Medicago truncatula: one gene and its partner. The protein of the gene in region 2 interacts with the protein of the main gene of each other region in a pairwise test. Links are inferred from orthologs where the notes say so. Each region holds a gene or a part of one and is shown on either strand. Other genes may lie near its edges.

Region 1 (11,048 bases), on a different chromosome or scaffold from region 2:
TCATGGTCAGAGTTCTTATGGTCAGAGTTCCTTCGAGATTCATGATCTGATGTTCTTTTTGAGGGCTCATGTGTGTAGCGGTCATCGTCTCTGTATCTCTTCCTTTGATAATCTATAATGCCAAAGAGACAATTTTAATTAAATCATTTGTAATTTCAAAGGCAAATAATAACAGTAATCCAAAGTGCTTCTTAAAAGTTGATGGACAAAAGAAATTGCTTTGAGATGAAACTACCTCCTCTGCCATGCCTATAGGAACCACCGTGACCATGGCCACCACCATGTCTACCATCTGCAAGATTAAAATTGCTGAACCGTTAAATTTGCAGAGAATAAATGATAGAGAACTACCACAAATTATAAAATGTAACAGGATGTTAGATAGTTGAAAAAAGGCAAACAAAAAAAAAAACAATGAGAGGCTGGTGCGTAGTTCATAAGACCAACAGATGTGGATACTTCAGCCTAGCATACAGTATGGAGATTATAATAAAGTCTAAGAATATTTAAGTGATAGAAACTGTCTTTGAATTTTAACCATTAGGAAAATATATTTAAACCCTAAACGCTATGGCGGTATTTGCTATTGAAGGCATCACTTTGCATTATTATTCATACTGCACAATAAATAGGATGCAGGAGAGGACAGGCTAACTGAAAGAGTGCACATCGTTGGAGGCTGCCTCGTGTATTGCATATTTACACAGAGACAGTGCTATGCTCAACTAACAATGTAAACAGAAGTATGGGCTAATGAAGCAATGAGAGTAGTCCATAATTCGATGTCCTTTCAAGTCAGTGTTGTTACTTATCATTCAATAAAAATCAAGTAGGTTAATAAGTAGCCACATAATTTGCAAATCTGAAAACTAAAAAAGTAATAAAATAAAAATACATTGATCAAATTTTGTTATCAAAAACAAGTAAAATGTTGAGCCAGGGTTGCTACGAGCAGCTGAAGATCCATATAAAATAAAACAGTAACTTACACGAAGATGGAATAACTGGCGGAAAAGATCCCAAAGAACCAGTGCCGTAGTCTACAAGATGCCTTTGTACTTCTAACTCTTTCTGAACCAACTTTCCATATCCACCCCTACGTATGTAGAATTAAGGAAACAAAAGGAGACTAGTAGAAATACAGATACTAGTGCAAGCGAGTATTTTCTGAAGTAATTTTGATGTCAAATTTCTTGTTCAAGATCAAGTGAAGGTATGGGAATATACATTATTCAATTTCAACTAGACCAGGTAAAATCATAGTGGATCTAATAAATTTATTTGTTTGAACATGTAGGGATGTCCTTGATCAAATGTGAAGTTCATTCTAAAATAATAAGAATCACAAATGAAGGCAATAACAGATAAATTTATGAAAAACAGTAAAAAGGATATCTGGATCATAATCAGTGCGATATTCATCACGCACCTGCAAAAATTAACAGCACCGGAAAATATCAGCCAAGAACTAAAGCAACCTTAGAAAACAAAGCCATAAGAACTGGAAAACATATAACACAATACAACATTGGGATATGGAAGCTGATAAATCTTAAAAACTATGGGATACTACACGGTTATTGTAGAATATATAAAATTTGTATGTTGAAAAGAAAATGAAAAAACAACTCTTCAAGCAAGAGTCCAAGATAATTGATATTTTAAAAATTAGGATGAGTCATTGTGATAAGAAGAAAATAACATTGTTTATGTAAAGCACTGAAATGTGACAGAACATTACGTCAGAATATAATGAGTTGAAATAGAATGTATAACATTATGGTGTTATTTGATCCATGTAGCCAACCCTACTTAATAGGATAAGGTTTGGTTGTAGTTTGTTGTAACCATTGTGTTAATTCTGTTTTCTAATGGTGTAAATGCTGAAAAGTGAAAACAGTAATTTGTAAAATGCAACTAAAAATAACCAAATTGTCTAGGTAAACTATAGACTCGACAACTAGTTTAAAATATTCACTCTAAGCAAAAAATTTGTGAAGCATTAAGTTATTCTCTTTTCTGATGGTGTAAATGCTGAAAACAAAAATTTGTAAAAATACAACAAAAAATAATCAAATTGTCCAGGTAAACATGGGCTTCGACTACTAATTTAAAATATACACACTTAGATGCACTAAAGTTGTTCACCTGGCCGCCACTACGACCGCGACCCCACTGTCTTCCATCCTGGAATCCCCAGTCAAAATCAACACGAATAGGGCGATCATCCAGTATAGTCCCACTTATATATTTGCAAGCATCCTCAGTATCTTCACGAGAGTAATATCTAGTAACAATAACAATTAAATACATACCCAAAATCATCAATCGGTACTCAGTTAAATACATACCCAAAACCATCAATCAGTACTACGTTATTTATTCAATAGCCAATAAATTAACAATGCATTATCACCAACTACACTATTCAATTCAAATAGATACAATCTATAGTTCCTTTCTTCTCACACGTTTTTCTACTCCCTCCATTTCAAAATGAGTATCGTTTTAGCCAATTGCACACAGATTAAGGAAAGGAATAAAGTGGTCAAATGTCATAGCAATTTTACTAAAATAGCCTTACTATTTTCCATATGTATTTCACGTTTTCAATGGAAGATGTATCATTAAGCCAATTAAAATGGGTGTTTAGCACTTTTCCCATATGTATTTCACTTTTCCCAAAAGAAGTTGACACCAGCACATGTTACTAACTTCTTAAAGTACTTATTTTAATGAGGGGCAAAGATGGAAAAGAAAAATCAATTGTTCATTGAAAGTTGAAAACGACATTCATTTTGAAACAATTTTTTTTGGCTAAAACGACACTCATTTTGAAATGGAGGGAGTATAACTAAACACAATCACTCTATCACTCTCCGTTTCACTCACATTCTATGCAAGGTATGATACTATCATTTTTGTATAAATTAATGGTCTGTTTGGATTTGTTTATTTGAGCTTTATCAACTAGCATCATCACTTGTGAAAATGTTTGGGAGAACTTATTAAACCAGCTTATGACATGTTAATAATCTGTTTTCAACTTATTTCCATAAGCTCTCCAGGAAAACAGCCTGACTTATTTTAGCTTATTTAAGGAAATAGCTTAGAATAAGGCTCTGTTTGCCAATGCCAAATTTTGAGCTTACAGCTTATAAGGTCATATGGTTAAGAAAGAACCATTTGCTTACATTTTTTTCTCAAGAGCTTATAGCTTAAAGCTTATCATTTACTCTCACTTTTACCCGTCATTTACTTGAAACAAAATAAATATTAATTAAACATGTGCCATTTCATAATTAGGGTTTGTTTGGTAGTAATACATAATTTTGAGCTTAATAGCTTATGTCTTATAAGCTTAATTGGATGAAAAAGACCTGTTTGGTAACTGTCACTTTCTCACAAGCTTATAGCTTAATTTTACTAGCTTATAGCGTTTTATGATAAGCTAATCCAAGTCTTCTTCAAAAAAAAATGACAAGCTAATCCAAGTATATTATACCTTTCATTGTTTATCTCAATTTCATCCTTGTAATCTTAATTGAAAAAATTTAAATATTCATTAAATATATCACTTTTATGTCATTTCATATTTATAAATATATCACCTTTAAGTCAGTTCATATTTTTAAGTTAGTTCAAACATTAATTTTACCAAACAGTGCAAGTTCAATCAGCTAAATTATCTCTATAAGTTCGTCCGCTAAAAGCTAATTTATCAGCTATTTGCTATTTCTTCGCCAAACAGGGCCTAAGCGCTTATGCTATAAATTAAGTTGTTTATCCAAAAAGGGCCTAGGCTAATACCTAGAAATTAAAATAACTACATTAGTATTTGTAAAGTTTGAACAGAAATTGTAACTTACAAAACGAAGCAAAAGCCACATGGAGTTTTGGTGTTCTTATCCAAACCCATGATAATCTTCTTAATTTCACCAGCTCGTGTAAAAAGCTCGTAAATTTGCTCTTCCGTAGTGTAAAACGACATGTTCCCAACGTAAACGGTGGTTGAAGTTTTAAGCGCATGCTCAAATTCTTCTTGATTTCCAGGGAATCTTCTATCTCTGTATGCCGAGATCTTCGCCGGATCCTAAAACATTTGCAAAGAAGAAAAAATTGAAATCAAAATCAAATAATTGAATCAAATAGCGAAAACCTAATAGAGTTGAATAGTGTACCTTGAATAACAACGCCATTGTTACTGAGCGAGAATGTTATGAGTGGAAATTCATGTAAAATGAAGAGGAAATGTTGCGATTAGGGCAGTGAAGTTCGAGAAGATGAACTCTTTCTTCACGTGGATCGTTTTGACCCGAAATGTGAGTCTAGTTTTACGAAGAAAGTTCTCTATTATACCCCTCTACTATGCTTCCTACCCCCCACAAAATCATTTAAATATCTAAAATACCCTTTTTTTTTTTTTTTGTCAAGTAGAATTCACTTTTTTTCAAGGTGAATAAGTGCGGTGTCTGGGGTTCGAATCTCATTCCCTGCATATAATTATGCATGTCCCTGCCAACTGAGTTATACTCACGGGAACTCTAAAATACCCTTTATCTCGTCTATTATTTTAAATTTTAAGAATCTATAGAGTAGAGATTTAATTAATTGATTAAAAACAATTTAAAGAAAAAATGATAGTTTAAATACTGAACTGAAAACTTGTTCCCAGAACAAATGATTTAAAAAACAAAAAAGGAAACACACATCTCATTTGAAAAGAAATATGCTCCATCAAAATTTGAGTATTCTCAAAAGACATGTTTCAAAAAACTTAAATTTGAGTATTTTAAAATATAAGTTTTGGATTAAAAGTTTAGCCACAATTGAACAATGATCTTGGCTTAGTTTGAAAAATAAATATAAATATATGATGTGTGGAAAAGTTTGAACAACTAAGGATAAAAACAACTCTCATTTTATTTTGTAGAGGTCAAAGTTTTGATAATTGCTTTTCTTCCATCTGTATTTATTCATCCCCATCAAAGTAGTCGAGTGTGAGTTAACTTACGCAGTTGTATTTTTTCAACGTGAATTAACTAACGTAGGGCAGGAATGAGTAAAAACAGATGGGTGGGAGAAGAGCAAAAATTATGCTCTCCACCCTGCACATTTTACTCACGCCCTACAGCCGTTCCAAATTTACCCTTGCACTAGTTAAATAACGCAAAGGCTTAAATGCTCTTTTGGTCCTTTAACTATTTAATTGGTATCGCTTTGGTCCCTTAACTAAAAAAAAATTGTTTGAGGATTTTAAGTTTTTTTTTAGTCTCGTTTTGGTCCCTTCTGTTAGGTTTCCGTTAGTTTTAATAAAAAACGTTAAGTGTGGACACGTGTCACCTTGTCATTGGCTCTGAGAATTTTTTTTTACAAAAAAAAAATCTCAGAGCCAATGACAAGGTGACACGTGTCCAGGAGTTAACTTTTTTTTTAAAACCCTAACGGAAACCTAACAGAAGGGACCAAAACGAGACTAAAAAAAAACTTAAAATCCTCAAACAATCTTTTTTTTAGTTAAGGGACCAAAATGATACCAATTAAATAGTTAAGGGACCAAAAGAGCATTTAAGCCATAACGCAAATGTAAAACTATGCGCTAATTAAGTAACGCTGCTTGAGTTAACTCACGCTAGTTCATAATTCTAAAAGGACAGTCGCGTTTTTATTGCTGCATAGCCAAAATGCATTTCAATCCAAAATCAAAAGTTGGCCAAGTTGCATTCAATGAAAAAGAAGATGGATGAGGTGGAGTTTTGGACAAACAACACATGTAAAGATGGCTATATTAGCCTATGATTAGGTGGCGACCACTATTAGTAGCCGAGAGTTGCTTGCTGCATGGTATAATCACAGGTGTTTATACTAGATAAAATTCTCTAATATGAACTAGTGGATAGAACAAGGTTGCTTGCTGCATGGTATAGCATATATAGCAATTACACATAAAGCAGTACTAGCTGCCAAATGAATAAGAAAATTCACATTTTCCCTAACGTGAGTTAACTATCAAAGGGGTATTTTTGGAATGATTGCATGGCGCGAGCGAAAAGTGCTGTGTGAAGAGCAGAATTCAAAGAACAATTCTACCAAAGTTTAAGCCCCAAACTTTTTTAGGCCCATTTTTCACTTTTGAGTCCATCAACTGAAGCAGGGTTTTACAAAGTTTCGTAGAATCCTAAACCGTTGCCTGTGCAGAACCTACGCAAACCCTAAAAACTTTCCGATAACGAAAATGGCCTCCGTCGCCGGAACCGCCGCGAGATCGATTTTTCGATCTTCCTCCATCTCCCGCTCCGCCTTCCGTCTAGCTTCAGAAGCTAAATCAGCTCGCACTCCTTTCCGAATCGCCTCGAACAAACCTATATCCCAATCCGCATTCAGGTAATTCACTACTATTATTGCTCCTTTTGTAGCATTTTTACGAATTAATCGTTGTTTTTTACATGCTTATAGTGCTCAATTTAGTGTTAATTCAATTTTAATGTGGTTAATTTAATGAGCTGAAAATGAGTGATTTTGATTTTGATTTTATTTTTATTTTTTGTGGAATTGTTTGTGTGTGAAGGTGTCCTGTTGAATTGAGCTTCTGTATGGAATCTATGTTGCCGTTTCATTCGGCAACTGCTTCGGCGTTGATGACTTCGAAGTTAGTTGTTTCTCAACGCAGCTACGCATGGCTTCCTGAAGGTATTGTCTGACACTACCACTTTAATGCAATTATCATCGAGTAAACCGCTAAATTAGTCCATGACTTTGTAGGGTGCACTCAATTAGATCCCTGAGATTCTCCAGCTCTGTTAAACCGTCAATTTGGTCCCTGGTTAGATTCATATATTTTCACAACGTACTAACAAGTTCCATATATTTTAACAGCTTAATATCAATTGTGTCCCTATATTTAACTACTTACTATCAATTTGTTCCTTAGCGTGTTGTCGCAAGGACTAGTAATATGAGAAAAATTTGATAGAGTCATGGAGCTTTTTGAAATATTAAAACGTCAAGAGACCTATTTGAGTTAGGTTTTACTTGACGGATAGGTTTTACTTTTGAATTAGGTAGGTAAACATCTCTAGGATTCCTTGTGTTCTTTCTTCAATTTAATTTTCGGGTAAGGTGGTGTATTTTTTGAATTATCGAGTTAAACTTAATGGAGTCTTGCTATTGTTAATAGGAAACATGTTCAAAATATATACATGAAATATAATTATTCATATCTTTGGGAAAAAGGGGGTTCATATACCTGTATCTTTCTATAATTATTAATCTTGTAGCAAAGATTAATGGATTAAGTTATTCCCTGTGTCTTCTGCTTTCCCTGCTCTCAAGCAACTAAATCTTTAGTGAAGCCATTCATGCTCCTTTTGTATGTAGGCAAAGAGACTATTTGAAGATCAAGAAGCAAGGTTGGGATGACGTGGACCTCTTATGATGTTGGACTTTAAACAAAAACAAAATCTGATAAAGAAAAAATGCTAGATAATATATATCACTATTTATTGTATAAATTTAGAGCAAATTTATCTGCTCTTGGATTAGTGAGAATATCATCAAGCTGGATTCTCAGTTTACTTTGTGTTTTAGGAAATAAATATTTCTCTGTTTTTATCAATCTTATTGTTCAAAATTTTATACATCTTGGGTACAATTGTCCGGACTTTGGATATGATAGTAGGATTTTTTGTCATATTCAAAATCCTACTTTTATTTCTTATTCTTCTCCTTCTTTTTCTTAAAACTATAACTTCAACAAATACCCGGCATTCTTGTTAGAGTTTCTCTTGAATTCATTTTATTTCCTGTGTCTGTTATGTTGGATTATTTGAAAGAGTATATGCATCTATTTTGTGTGACTTAACTTCTTAAATCCTGTCTTTAAATCCATAACTGATTCAATTTGTAGGATAAATTAATAATAAAGGTACATACTGATCTCTTTTGTTTAATCAGATTGCAATGATGATGTGTGATAAGTGTTCTGAAGATCGAAGCAATCTTTTATGTACTATCTACTTCATGAGAGTGTCTTGTCTGAGCCATTGGTGGGTTAAATTGAGTCCTAAAGGCTGAAAGGAACTTTTGAAAAGCTAGACCACTTGTAACTCTGTTGTTTCTTTTCTAGATTTATAAAAGCCTACTTTCCACCATAATTATTAGTGTCTAAAGTCAATAAGCTGAAATTGTTTCGCAGAGTGTTGGATAAGTTGTCTTTTTTGTCCATGTTCTTTTGAAATTTCTTATTTAATCGGCTAGGGATGTTTTATGTCTGGTTTAGTGATAAAATTTCTCTTTTTGGGCATTAGTTTTCCAATTTTCTCATTTGCCTCGTCTTTTTAACTTTCAGAAGGAGAGGAGGGTTCATGATGTGATAACTACAGAATGCTATTCAGATTATGCTCTCAAAATTTACTTCGCGGCTATCAAAGTTGGATTGATAATAATACTTAATAAAATACGAGCTTTGAATTGAATAATTGGATATTTGAACTATTATATGTTTTGCCTTGCCTCCCTTCTTTTTAAAGTTATTACGGTTTTGTGTTTTCACTTAAAATTCCAAAAAGCTGTCCACCTTTGTTTGATACTAATAGTCTATTTTCAATCCGCCATCTTTATTTGAAAATGGTTTCCATGGCATCTCAATCTTCCCAACAAAATAAGTATTGAACTAGTTGAAGTTCCTCAAACATAATAATATAAAATGACTGCAAAAATGACTTAAATTAAGTATAAATATATTCTAGTGAATCGGCAACTAAGTCTCTAAATTTGTAATCACGGTTCAAGGTTTTTATTGAAAAAACACAATCTGTCTGTAAATTAGTTCTGCTTCTGCATCAACTAGTTTCATCCATCCGTTTATTTCAAATGTTATGTTTGATTACGCACGGAGTTAAACGATAGTGTTGTAATCTAGTGTAGTGCAATATTTAGCATGCACGTCATCAAGAGCAGCGTCTAAAGTTGATGGAGGGAAGAAACTTACACAACTAATTAACGGTCTATTTTTCTATTCTAAAATTTAGAGAACAAAATCAATGACCAAGTTGCCTATTTTCTCAAATCTATTATGGTTTCAATAATAAATTAAACCAATATATATATACACACACACACACACACTCACACATACTAGTCTACGAGTTTAAAATATAACTACGACAACGATTGACTAAAATTAGTCTAGATCTATTATGTTTTCAATTTTAAATTGAACCGCATCAAAATTCCAACTTAATGATTCAAACAAGGTAAACGACTTTTTCAAGCCAACCAGTTTAACATCAATGAATGATAAGGATTACAAACGAGTCCAAACTAACTTAGGAATGGATGGGCAAGGGTCAACAAAAGATAATATTATGTTGAAAAATGTTAACGAGTGTCCCGAACACTCTTTAGGGATCATGTTGTTAACAAGACCTTATGTTGTTCACTGAAATTTTTTTTTTTTTTTTTTTTTTACAGGAGTTATATATGAATATGATAGCAAGTTTTGAAAAATAAAAAGAGGAAAACCATAAGTTAAATAATAGAGTTTTATAATTTAAAGGGCATACAATTTCAATTTTCCTCAGCGACAGCTGGTTGAACCAAGTTTGGAGGTCAATTTAATGGCAATAAGAACTTTTATGAAAGAGTATGAAAGCTTCTACTTAGGTTTCTCTGCTTCATAATGGGCAGAAGGAGAATGGTTTTCAATGCGCCACCCAAACATGGGAGTGTGATCTGAAGGATTATTCATCATTGAAAGAAGTTGTGCCACCAACACCCAATTATGGATTGGTGATCATGAAAGATGCACCACCAACGTGCAATCAGGGAAAGGTAATAATTAAGAAGTCGACTGCAATATGGCTAGATATGATAGTTCCATTTATGTTGGCAAGTTGATGATATCAACACTAATGTCACTGAAAGTCCATGTTTGTGTGAGATATCCAGCACTAATCCATTAGATTCCATCAAAAACTAAGGTCATGAAATTGTAAGGTGATCGTATCCAATACTAATACATCAGATCCCATCAAAACACTGCAGTTAAGCGTGTTTGGACAAGAGTAGTAATAGTATGGATGACCTCCTTCTTCACACGAGACACATCACTTCTCCACACAAGACAGTCGTAACGACGTCAACGGGTGTATTAATTACATTTTCAATGATCAAGAGGTATGAAAAATCAAATATAGATGTATACATTTTCTTTCGATAAATTTTTCATGAATATAAACAATATTATGATTTTCATGCCCCTAATTAAAAATTATATTAAAAAATTAATATAAAGGTAATTAATTGGAGTCAAATCCAATTTCTAATATATATATATTAATGATGGAAACTTATTTTTTAGAGTAGGTTCCACTAAATATGTGTTGGATATTCTTTGCTCTTTTGTTTCAAAGACTTAGTCATGTGTAGATTATAAACTGTTTGTTGTTGTTGTTATATTATTATCATCTTCGTTTCTTTTATTGTGTTAACGTTTGTAAATTATGAACGATGTTTTTTTATAAATTTTTAATTTTAATTAAAAATATAAATATAAATATTAATGACTTTCAAATTATAACAAACTAACAAACATGATCGTTTTTATTCAATGATACCAACAATATTGCAAATAATATAAATTCTTGTGTCTTAATAACACCAATAATATAATATTCTTGTCAAAAAAACAATATAACATTATTATAAAAATATTTGTTTATGGGTATAAACATTATTACTATTTTTTAAGTTGTTTATTATTATTAATATTATGAGCATGAAGATGAGCATCACCATGTATTTTTCGCTTTTATTAGCGGAAGGAAACTTAAAAATTATTAAAAATAATTGTGTGAAGTGTAAAATTGAAAGTAAGAGTGTTATGTCAAAACACAAGTTTTTTCTTTCTGGCATAAGTATCTCGACAAAGTATACGTATTATGTGAACTTAGCTATTACGTAATATATGTAGGCGCTGAAGTTTGAATCCAGGATATTCCACTATTTTTTTTTTTAAAGAATAAAGTTTTTGTTATAATGTTAATATT
Region 2 (10,319 bases):
TTGGTGTCTAGTTGCATATTGGTCACAAGGTCGCGCATGCATTTATTACAGTATTCTTGTCAAAGACTAAAACACCTTTGAAAAGTGAATCACCATAAGCAAAACTCCCACTAATTTCATATCATTAATGACTAAATCAGAGTTGCCAATAATCCACAAAATAAAAAATAATCAGAATTGTCAATCAAGCCAATGGTGGCAGGCCAAAATGCACCGGAGTATTTTTGGATGAAGCGAAGAAAAGATGTCAATTTCGTATTATAAAAAATTAATGAAAATAAACATGGTAGTAATTGATTGTCACAATTAAAACATTCAGTTCACTGCAAGAAAAATGTAATACTCCTTCATGCAAAAATTAACTCATTATATGGCCTTTAATTTTGTCTAACTGGATCCTCGTCTTTGTATTGTTTTTTGTGGCTATTAGTAACATTAGTTAGTTTGAGCTATATGCTCCTATTTCTTAGTTGAATGGTCCATAGTCTCATATTTAAGAAAATAAATTTGAAGAACATTCAACAGCTTAAAGTTGTGCCCTTAATACGTGATGATTCCTGACACCACTACACCAGACATCACTACACCAGTCTCCCATTATTTACCACCTTCCAGGAATTGAAGTGCAAATGCAGTGGCCATAGTTAAAATATGAAATTACTAATGACAATATCACATGAAACTTGTTAAAGAGTCTCACATCGGATAAGAGTATGGCCTGAACAAGTGTTTATAAGTGGGGGCGGTCCTCACCTCACAAGCCGGATTTGTGGGGTTGTGTAGGCCCAACCAAAAATTCTAAGATGGTATCCAAGTCTCCTCCAAGACCTATCGGGTCACCTTCTATCAGGTTTTCGCTATCGGGTCACCCACCATATATATCCACGCACCAAGCCCAATAGTGTTGGGCATATGGGTCCCACATCGGATAAGTGATGGCATGCACAAGTGTTTATAAGTGGGGGCAGTCCTCACCTCACAAGGTTTTGTGGGTTTGTGTTAGGCCTAACTACAAATTCTATGAAAACTAATAAACTTTATTTCGTTAATAATTTGGATGGTATGATGACTAAACATGATTTTGATGAGCTTTGTGGCTATTCAAGTGCAGTTTGAGAGAGTAGGGAACCTACTTCACTTAGTCAAGACAACCTTAGCATGTGAAATAGGCAATGAGTGTTTTGGGTGAAGTAAATGGTTTTTGTATCACAGACATGGTCACAACACAAACACTCCAAAAGTTGCACGCCCGTTGAATGCAAAGGAGCGAAAATGAGATTCCAACTTCGCTTGTGGCAGGTGGTATGGCACCTCAATGGACAACCCATCATACCCACTCCTAGTCCTAAATATTTTTATAGCATATAGTATCAAACCTGCCATGTCATACACCTGCGACCAACGTTGGCCGTTTTGGATTAAATGGTGACAACCTCTGCTCCTAACTTGATCAAACATTAACAAATATGAAACCTTAAAAAAAATCAATAAAAGTAGCTTTCCGAATCAAATACTAAACAATCCATTTGGCAAGCAGTCTACATAGTTGTCAAAACTGAAGGAAAAAAAAACTACATTTAAATTTCAAATTCTAATATGCAACCTAAGGTTAAGAATTATTAACTAATGTTAAACGAATTATAGTAGCCTCAGTGGCTTAATCACTAACCTGAAATTTAGATCGAGTTTGCTCCACTAGTCTTTTCACAAAGTCCTCATTTTCCAAGTTTATCAGGCCAATCTGAATAAAATGTATAAGTAGGAAACGTAGGAAGCTCAGAAACTAAATTTTGAATTTGGAAACTACTCGAGATGTACAAGGAAATTCATAATACATAATTGGGATGGTAAGTAGATGTGAAAAAAATAGAAGATACAGAATTGGAAACAGGATAATTACAGTAAACCGATAGAAATATTTGGCATTTGTTGCAAAATGCATCAAATAATGGTAGAATATAACTCGAAAAGCGAAAAAATGTGACAAACTATGTTGCTTCTTCTACTATATCACGTCATTATAAAATTTTAAAAGCTTTTTGTTTTTCAAAAACCTGCAGGTTATATGCACTCCAACTTTGAAAGGCACGTCCATTAGATATTATACACATATTTTGTGAAACAAATCCATCATGACGCAGGGAACATAATAAAATTTAACTAAAATGTGGTCTTAAGTGATAAAATAATAGAAAATATGAACAATGGATCTTTAAATAAATTTATTTAACCATATAAATATATATAAGCTATAGCAGTGATTCCTATGTTTGTTTCAATTTTAAAGGACAATTGACATTCGCAGAGCAGCCAAGTAACAAACTTGTGCAATATAAAATTGATTAGGTTTGCAATTGAAAATTAATTAGTACATGGAAAAGGTGGGAAAGTTAGCACATTTGGTTGATCAGATAAACTACCATATACCATAACGACAATTTCTGATGTAAATCATCCCCAAAATAACTAGATAGACTTCCACTGTCATAACTTAGTGGTGACCAATTTCTCATACTGATTAATCAAATTAGTACAGTATGTTCACACATATAAATCAACCTCGAAAACACACACACGCACACACAAACACACATACCCACTAATAATAAATAATAAGAGCATCTTGTATCTAAGAAACATACATGAACACTTACATACATGTCCTACTATGAAACATGCATGAACGCTTACATACATGTCCTAATTCAGAAAAAATATTAGAACATACAGTGAAGTGAATAATGCAGGTCATTTGCAGTTCAAGAGAGATAAAGAGAGAAGTAAATCTCTACCAGGGTTCCATAGAAAGGAATCTTGTGAGGCAATTGCTCAGCACATGTAAGAAGGAACTGCATGAAGACAATAAAGTAAACATGTCATGATACCAAACATTGAAGTGTCATGTCGTGACGAAGAAAAAAAAAAAGACGATAGATAAAAATTTATAAGGCACACTAGACACCGTCAAAATATGGAATGCATCGCACACTGAACATATGATAGCAAAATAAAAAATAATGAATACTTTAATTTGAAAATAGAGAAAAATACAGAAAGACAACTAGAAAGTCCTTATACAACCTGCCACATATTATAGTTCTACATTTTAATCGAGCTTCAATGTTCATACATATTTCAGAAGCAAATAAGTATGTTCATTGCATGTTTGGAATAACGGTGGATCGACCAAATCAAGGTGGCACGGCCACTTTGTTGAAGCTTGAAAACTGTAGCTTTTGCAAAAACACTGTAGCTTGTCATGATTCTGCCAAACTCACTTGTGAATCCAAACATGCACCAACTCGTGATTGTATTTTCCCCAACAGAGAAAATGGATCAAGGGTGTTTGGTTTCACATTTAATTTAGATGCCTTGGAAGTATTTTTCAAAGTGCCAGAAGCAATTCTAACTCTAAAATTATGTTTAGCTTGATTCTAACACACAAATTTATAATTCAACTCACTTTTACATAAATGTATTAAAACACAAATCACTTTACATGCAACTTTAGCAAGAATCAATTCACTCAGAATCAATTCTTGTCAAAAATTGTGACACACTTATAAAACACAAATCAAAGCTAGTTGTAAGTAGATGACAAAATCAATTATCAAGGAAGCGCTTATTTGAAGCAGTCAAAAATTGTGATACACTTATAAAAAGAAGAGGCAAATTAAAAACGTTTGAATTGTTGAAGCAACAATAAGCATCAGAAATGGAGTACTTACCTCCAAAATCTCAGTTTGAGAGTTGTCGAGCTCACGACGAAGGACACCAAAACAGGTTTCCTGAAAAATTATGAAAAAAACGCGTTAGGAGAATCAAATAATCGAATTGAAGAATAAGTTGAGCGGAAAAGGCGAAAGAGAGAAGAAGAAAGCGAACAATGTGATCTTTGAAGTCGGAGGAAGTTCCATATTCGGGACTCTTATCACCGATCCGTAGAATGAGGCTTCTCCAACCATTCATCGTTGACGAAGAAGAAGAAGGTGTTTGCAGAGTGAAGGAGTCGTTTGTAGGGTTTTATATATAGATCGAAAACCCTATTTCACCTTCAACGGCTGAACCCTAACAAATTACCTAAACTAAACCAACGCTGGTGTAGTGTGCCGGTACTGTTCAGTGTCCTCTTTCACTTTTAGATAGATTTTGTAGTCATTCAATTCAGATTTTCATTTCATTCAAAATATTTTATATTCCTTACAAAAAAAAAATAATAATAATAAATGAGTAAACTATCAAATTGGTATATGTCTTTATAGATCATTGTCAAATTAATTTTTGACTCCGTTAATGTTTCAATTTGGTCACTTGTCGAGATTGACAGAATCGCTTAAATGCACTATTTATTTAGTATTATTTTTTTTACTAAACATTTAGTATAAATTGATAATAAGAAGTAAATTTAAAATGTGTATTTATTCGAATATCAAAAATAAGAAAAAATTAGATTCTATATATTTAGTCTTTGTCGAAAGTTTTTCAAGTAAGTCTCTTGTTATGTGAAGAAAAAAAATTAATCGTGAAACTTTTGACAATATTTTAAAATAATTTGTATATTTGTTAAAAGTTTCTCAATTAAATCATTCATCGTGTGACAAAAACATAGAGACAATGATCTAATTGAAAAACTTTTGACAAAGATATAGATTGTTTTAAAATATTACTAGAGTCATCACTAATTTGATAATGACCTTGAAAAGAGGACCAAATTGGTAGTTTAAAAAAATGCATGAAAAAAACCACATTTGATAAGAATGTATTTAGAAACAAATAGAATAGAACCAGCGGCGTTTTAAAATTGAATCGTTTAAATAGAAAAATTACAAACTAAACTAAGATAAATCGAAATCGCAAAAAACCACATTTGATAAGAATGTATTTAATCATTTTTTTATTCAACAACATGTTTTGGTTTGGTTTACGATTTTTATTTTACAAATCAAATTAAATCAAACCGCAACTTAAGAAAAACATTAATTAAACATATGTCACCTAGATCAATATTCATAATAACTCGATTTTTTTTTTTATAAAACGACGTCAATCTTAAAGAAGAATCGGAGGTATTTGACTAATTTAATTTTTTAAGGAATTAAATATAATTTTTAAGGCACGAGTAGTTTTGTCATTTATATATAATTGGTCAAATACCTCTTATTGTTTTTTAAGTTTGATGTCTCTAATAAGTTGGTCATTTAATCTTTTTTTGTTATAAATTAGCTTTTTAAGTTTTTCTTTGTTAAAAGTGGGTTCTTTAAGCTATAATACATTGTTACCCATTTTTACGGTCAACTTCATTTTTTTTATAAAACAACCAACTTCGTTAAAAAAAAATTTATGAACAACTTAATATTTAGGTGGTAGGTTCGAAGATATTTATGACATTTAATATGATTACTTATGCACATTTTTTTTTCTTATTTTTGTATTTAAATCTAGTTTTACACATAAATATTCCATCAACTGTATTATAAATCCAGTAAACAAGCAATTTTTTTTCAAATCAAGATTGAATAGTACGCATATGAACTCTAGTTTTGAGAACGGTGAATTCGGACATACCAACTTAAATTAAATCTCCACATAAACACTTTTTAATCGAATTTGATAAAAATATGATGATGATGCACATGTTTTATGACTTAAATGACCAATTTCTAACAAAAAAAAACTTAAAGGAGTAACTTGCAACGAACATATAACTTAAAGGACCGCATATGGTATTTATATCATATATTTATTTATCGTGTCCCAAAATATAATACAGTTATTTATTCATTTATGTTTTTTTTCAAAAAGTATTAATATTGTTTATTAAGTAGCGTTGATGAATTTAAATGTATATATATAATTACTTAATTTTCTTTTAGCATTTTTTATTATTTTATAAAATTTAATTAATTTTGAAAATTTATTCATAATTGTTTCAAAAAATAATCTCGCTATTTTACTGCGCTAATGTTTGAAAATTATGAACGGTTGTTTTTATGAAATTTTAATTTTGATTAATAATAAAAATATAAATGTTTTTTGCTTTCAAGTTATAATAAATCAAACTAACCATGATTATCAATTTCAATGACAGCAACAATATAACAAAACAATATAATTTGAATTCTTTTTTTTTAATAACACCAACACCGATCGTTATGATGGAAAGGGTTGTTTAAAGGTATAATTGAGATAATGAAAAAGTAAGTATAGATATCCTCATCTAATTTGTTACATTTTTCATATCGTGTTTGTTATACTTTTATTTTAATATTTGAATTTACCCTTATCTGTTTATTATATGTGTTAGTTGTTTTGAAACTTAAGGGTAATTTTGAAAGGAAAAAAATCAGCTCAAAAGAGTCAAAATATGATATTTTCTTTATATCAATAGTGTATATATATAAAGATAAATAATAATAATTTTTTGCGATTTTTCTCTCCTACGGTTTCACTCATCGCCCCTTGTGAGAGTCTGTTTTGTCGATTAGATTGATTTTCAATCTTAATCGTGTTCTTTTCTTGTTTTTTCACATGTTGATGGATGATTTAAGCCAACAACGTAATCACATGGTCTGATACTTTACCGCCGTATTGTTTTTTTCACATCGCTTGTTTTGTCAATATTGCAACATAAAACCAGTACACCATTGTGACATTAACAAGTGTAACATACACCAGTTTTTAAAAATAAACCAGAAAAGCAAGTCTCATATTTCAAAAATTAAAGTTTAGAAGAATTTGTAAATGTCACACAAACTTTAATTTTCCTCAATGAGTAGTAGACTATTCAAAAAGCTGATATTAAACATTATCGAACTATTAGAAAAGTTGAGATTAAAATTGAGTAACAAAAAAAAGATCAATTCAAAGATAATGAATTAATAAAACTCATAAGGCATTGAGTAAAGTAAAACTCGTAAAGGATGTTTTAGAACCGAATCCGACCCGTTCTCAGCCCTATCATAGTCTCATAAAAAAAAGGCTTAAATATGTATTTGATCCTTGCAATTAGGGGTCGTTTAAAAACTGGTCCCTGTATTCGCTAATCCTTGCAAACTAGTCTTGCAATCATTTAAAATTTCGTCATTTGACCAACTTAATCACTGCCACACATGAAATTCCATTTTTGCCCTTAAGAAGAGGACAAGATATTGAAGAAAGAATTGGAAACTCAGGGGTAGAATTGGAATTTCATGTGGCGTGGCAGTGATTAAGTGGGGAGAGGGACGAAATTTTCAATGATTAAACAATGCAAGGGTAAATTGCCAGGATTAGCGATTACAGGGACCAATTTTTAAACGACTCCTAATTGCAAGGATCAAATACATATTTAAGCATAAAAAAAATACAATGGAGTTTTAACACTTATGTCTTTGTCAATATGTATATTCTTCATCACAAAAACTACAACAATAACGAAAACTATAACTAATATCAATTCTAAAATCCTTAGAAAACATGACATGGTTTCATTATTGTCTTCATAATTGAAATTTGAACAAAATTAACTACAGGATACTCAAAGTATTTCATTAGATGTTGTATACCATAAGATGCAAGTGATGGTGTGATAAGAATGTCCAATTTCGTAATCAAAACATCACAAAGAGTCAAATGTGAGAAGGATCTATGTGTTAATACTATAAACTTGCTGGACATGATGGTTGGGATTAGAGAGTTATCAACAAACTCTGGTAGCGTCAAAGATGGAAGCTTCATTGGTACGACGTGGAACACAAGAAGAAAGTGATTGGCGAGCACAAATTCATTATAGTCTTTGAAGGGAAAAAGTAATGTCATTGGAGAGAGGAGCAACCAAATAGAAGAATCAATAAGGAGAGGTGCAATCAATCAGAAGAAAAAACAAGGAGAATTCAAATGCAATCAATTAGAAAAATAAATAAGGAGAAGTGCAATCAATCAGAAGAATTAACAAGGAGAAGTGCAATGCAAACATTCAGAAGAGTCAATAGAGGGAAGTGCAATCAATAAGAATCAATAGGAAGAAATGTAATGCAATTTGTAACACCCTGTTTTCCCAACTTAAAAATTTCACATATAAATCAGAGTATTTCAACATAAACGGAGTGTCACACTTCTTTTCATAAAATCATAAACGGAATAAAATAACTATTTATCCTTCAAAATTCAACGTCATAATATTTATTACTTCGCAGCGGAAATTATTCAACTTGTAAACAACTTTGGCACAAGGGCCTCAACATAAAATCTCTTAAAATTCTTCCAACAACATGTTCATGATAATTCATAAAATAATACGTAAGGAATAGAAAGCAACAACAAAATCTCATCCCATTACGTATCAGAGCACCTAAGACACACGAGAGAGAAATCTCACACGAAATCAACTATTCTTGGTTACCTGCAAGTTACCCATGGTGGGCAACATTTCCAAGCAGAAAGGGTGAGATTTCACATTCAATAATAATAAGCATATAATTCATCAAAAGCATTTAACAACTTAAACATCATCAATTAATAATAATAATTCTTCATATAGTACTTCATTAATAGCTCAATCAACTTCTAGTCCTCATTAATATCATATTCACCACATCATATACATTCATCATATAACAACATAAACAACACAACATAAATATCGTCTCATAACGACATAAACGACACATCATAAAGATCATCTTATAACAACATAAACAACGCATCATAAAGATCATCTTATAACAACATAACATGACATCATAAAAATCATCGCATAACAACATAATCATCACTTCATAAAAATCATCGCTTAACAATATCATAACAACATCATATAGCATCATAACAACATCATAATCAACATCATATACCATCATAATAGCATCATATAATCAACATCGTAAACAACATCATAACATTATAATCAATATCATAAACAACATCATAATAACATAACAACATCATAATCAACATCATATAGCTTCATAACATCGTATAATCTTCATAAGCACTTCATTAACAACACATGGGTAGAAGACAACTCAACAACTTAACGACTCATGGATGACAACTCATCAACAACGACTTTGACTCAACAATGCAACTTCAACTTCTTAATCATGCATGTGGTACCAATCCAGGGAATCAAGCCCCCAACGTATTGAGCGTAAATAGGCTCCCAGGGCATCAAGCCCTCAACTTATCTGAGCATTAATATACTCCCAGGGCATCAAGCCCCAACGTGTTGAGCAAAGGCTCCAGGGCATCAAGCCCTCAACTTAAATAAATATGCATAGACTCAACAACTTACAACCTGGACAACATCAACAACTTAAGACTCCAATACTTTGGAACGACAACTTACAACTTAGACAACATCGACAACTTAAGACTCCAATACTTTGGAACGACAACTTGCAACTTTACAACTTAGACCACCACCTGCAACTTGATCAATATTCAACAGCAACAGAAACAACACAAGCAATTCACAACATAACAATATTAATGAAAAGTATCAACAATTTAAACATCATACATTTTCCACATAAGGCGTATAAATATTTCACATAACCAACAACAACAACATAGGCAACACGTAAACATCTCAAGATATAACAACATCAAATGATAATCAACATCAACTTAAAGATCTTATATAATTCACATAATGCATATACAAATATATTACATTACTATCAACATTAAATCATATTCATCAACATATACATAAAAATCATCAATCATGAACAACATTATTTCTATATCATACAATATTCACATAATATATGTATCTCAAATTATTCAACAAATATATTCACGTCCAACCAAATTAGATCCATCACAACACATGTTAAATACTCTTAAACCCCTTAATTAAACTCCTAGTACTTATAGTTTTGAGGTTTGAAATTATTCCATAAGTTTTGGATTAACTTATAAACGGTTATGCTGTATTTTCATAAAATTTCATTAAGACCTACTTGGAGTATTTTCATCATATCTCAAGAACCAAAAATCATTTTCATGTCAAACCAAAGTCACTGGAAAACTAACTCAATTATCTACAACTTTCATGTTTACACCAAAGGCCAATTCAAAACAGAAATGTGTGAAAAAGACGCAAGAACATGAAACAAGACATGCTGTCAGAGAGCAACTCGGGAAAAACCCATTTTTTTACCCCAAAATTCGAATTTTAACTTCTCTATGCACAAATTTGATCCAAAAACTTGTCTAACCATTTCTATACATGTTAAGGCACTCAAAACCACATAAAAGATGACCCAAAATATTATTTTACAAAACTCACATTTTTCATAAAAGTTCTCAAGAATAACAAAAGTTCACTTCAAGCT

Evidence for each region.
Region 1: the proteins of nuclear cap-binding protein subunit 1 (region 2) and nuclear cap-binding protein subunit 2 interact in binary tests that used the Arabidopsis thaliana proteins (3 or more experiments, as listed by UniProt). The link is inferred for Medicago truncatula from reciprocal best matches to the Arabidopsis thaliana genes ABH1 and CBP20.

What each region holds. Positions count from the first base shown.
Region 1 is NC_053043.1:44,905,227-44,916,274, reverse strand, and holds the start of nuclear cap-binding protein subunit 2, read right to left. Parts: upstream 4,344-11,048; 5' UTR 4,200-4,343; coding exon 4,182-4,199; intron 4,094-4,181; coding exon 3,870-4,093; intron 2,288-3,869; coding exon 2,149-2,287; intron 1,430-2,148; coding exon 1,396-1,429; intron 1,101-1,395; coding exon 990-1,100; intron 293-989; coding exon 236-292; intron 113-235; coding exon 1-112. Other genes in the region: protein NUCLEAR FUSION DEFECTIVE 6, mitochondrial, read left to right, coding at 6,236-6,384, 6,569-6,690, 6,763-6,785.
Region 2 is NC_053048.1:39,055,323-39,065,641, forward strand, and holds the start of nuclear cap-binding protein subunit 1, read right to left. Parts: upstream 4,144-10,319; 5' UTR 3,970-4,143; coding exon 3,886-3,969; intron 3,789-3,885; coding exon 3,729-3,788; intron 2,850-3,728; coding exon 2,793-2,849; intron 1,742-2,792; coding exon 1,670-1,741; intron 1-1,669. UniProt on the Arabidopsis thaliana protein: Component of the cap-binding complex (CBC), which binds cotranscriptionally to the 5'-cap of pre-mRNAs and is involved in various processes such as pre-mRNA splicing and RNA-mediated gene silencing (RNAi) by microRNAs (miRNAs).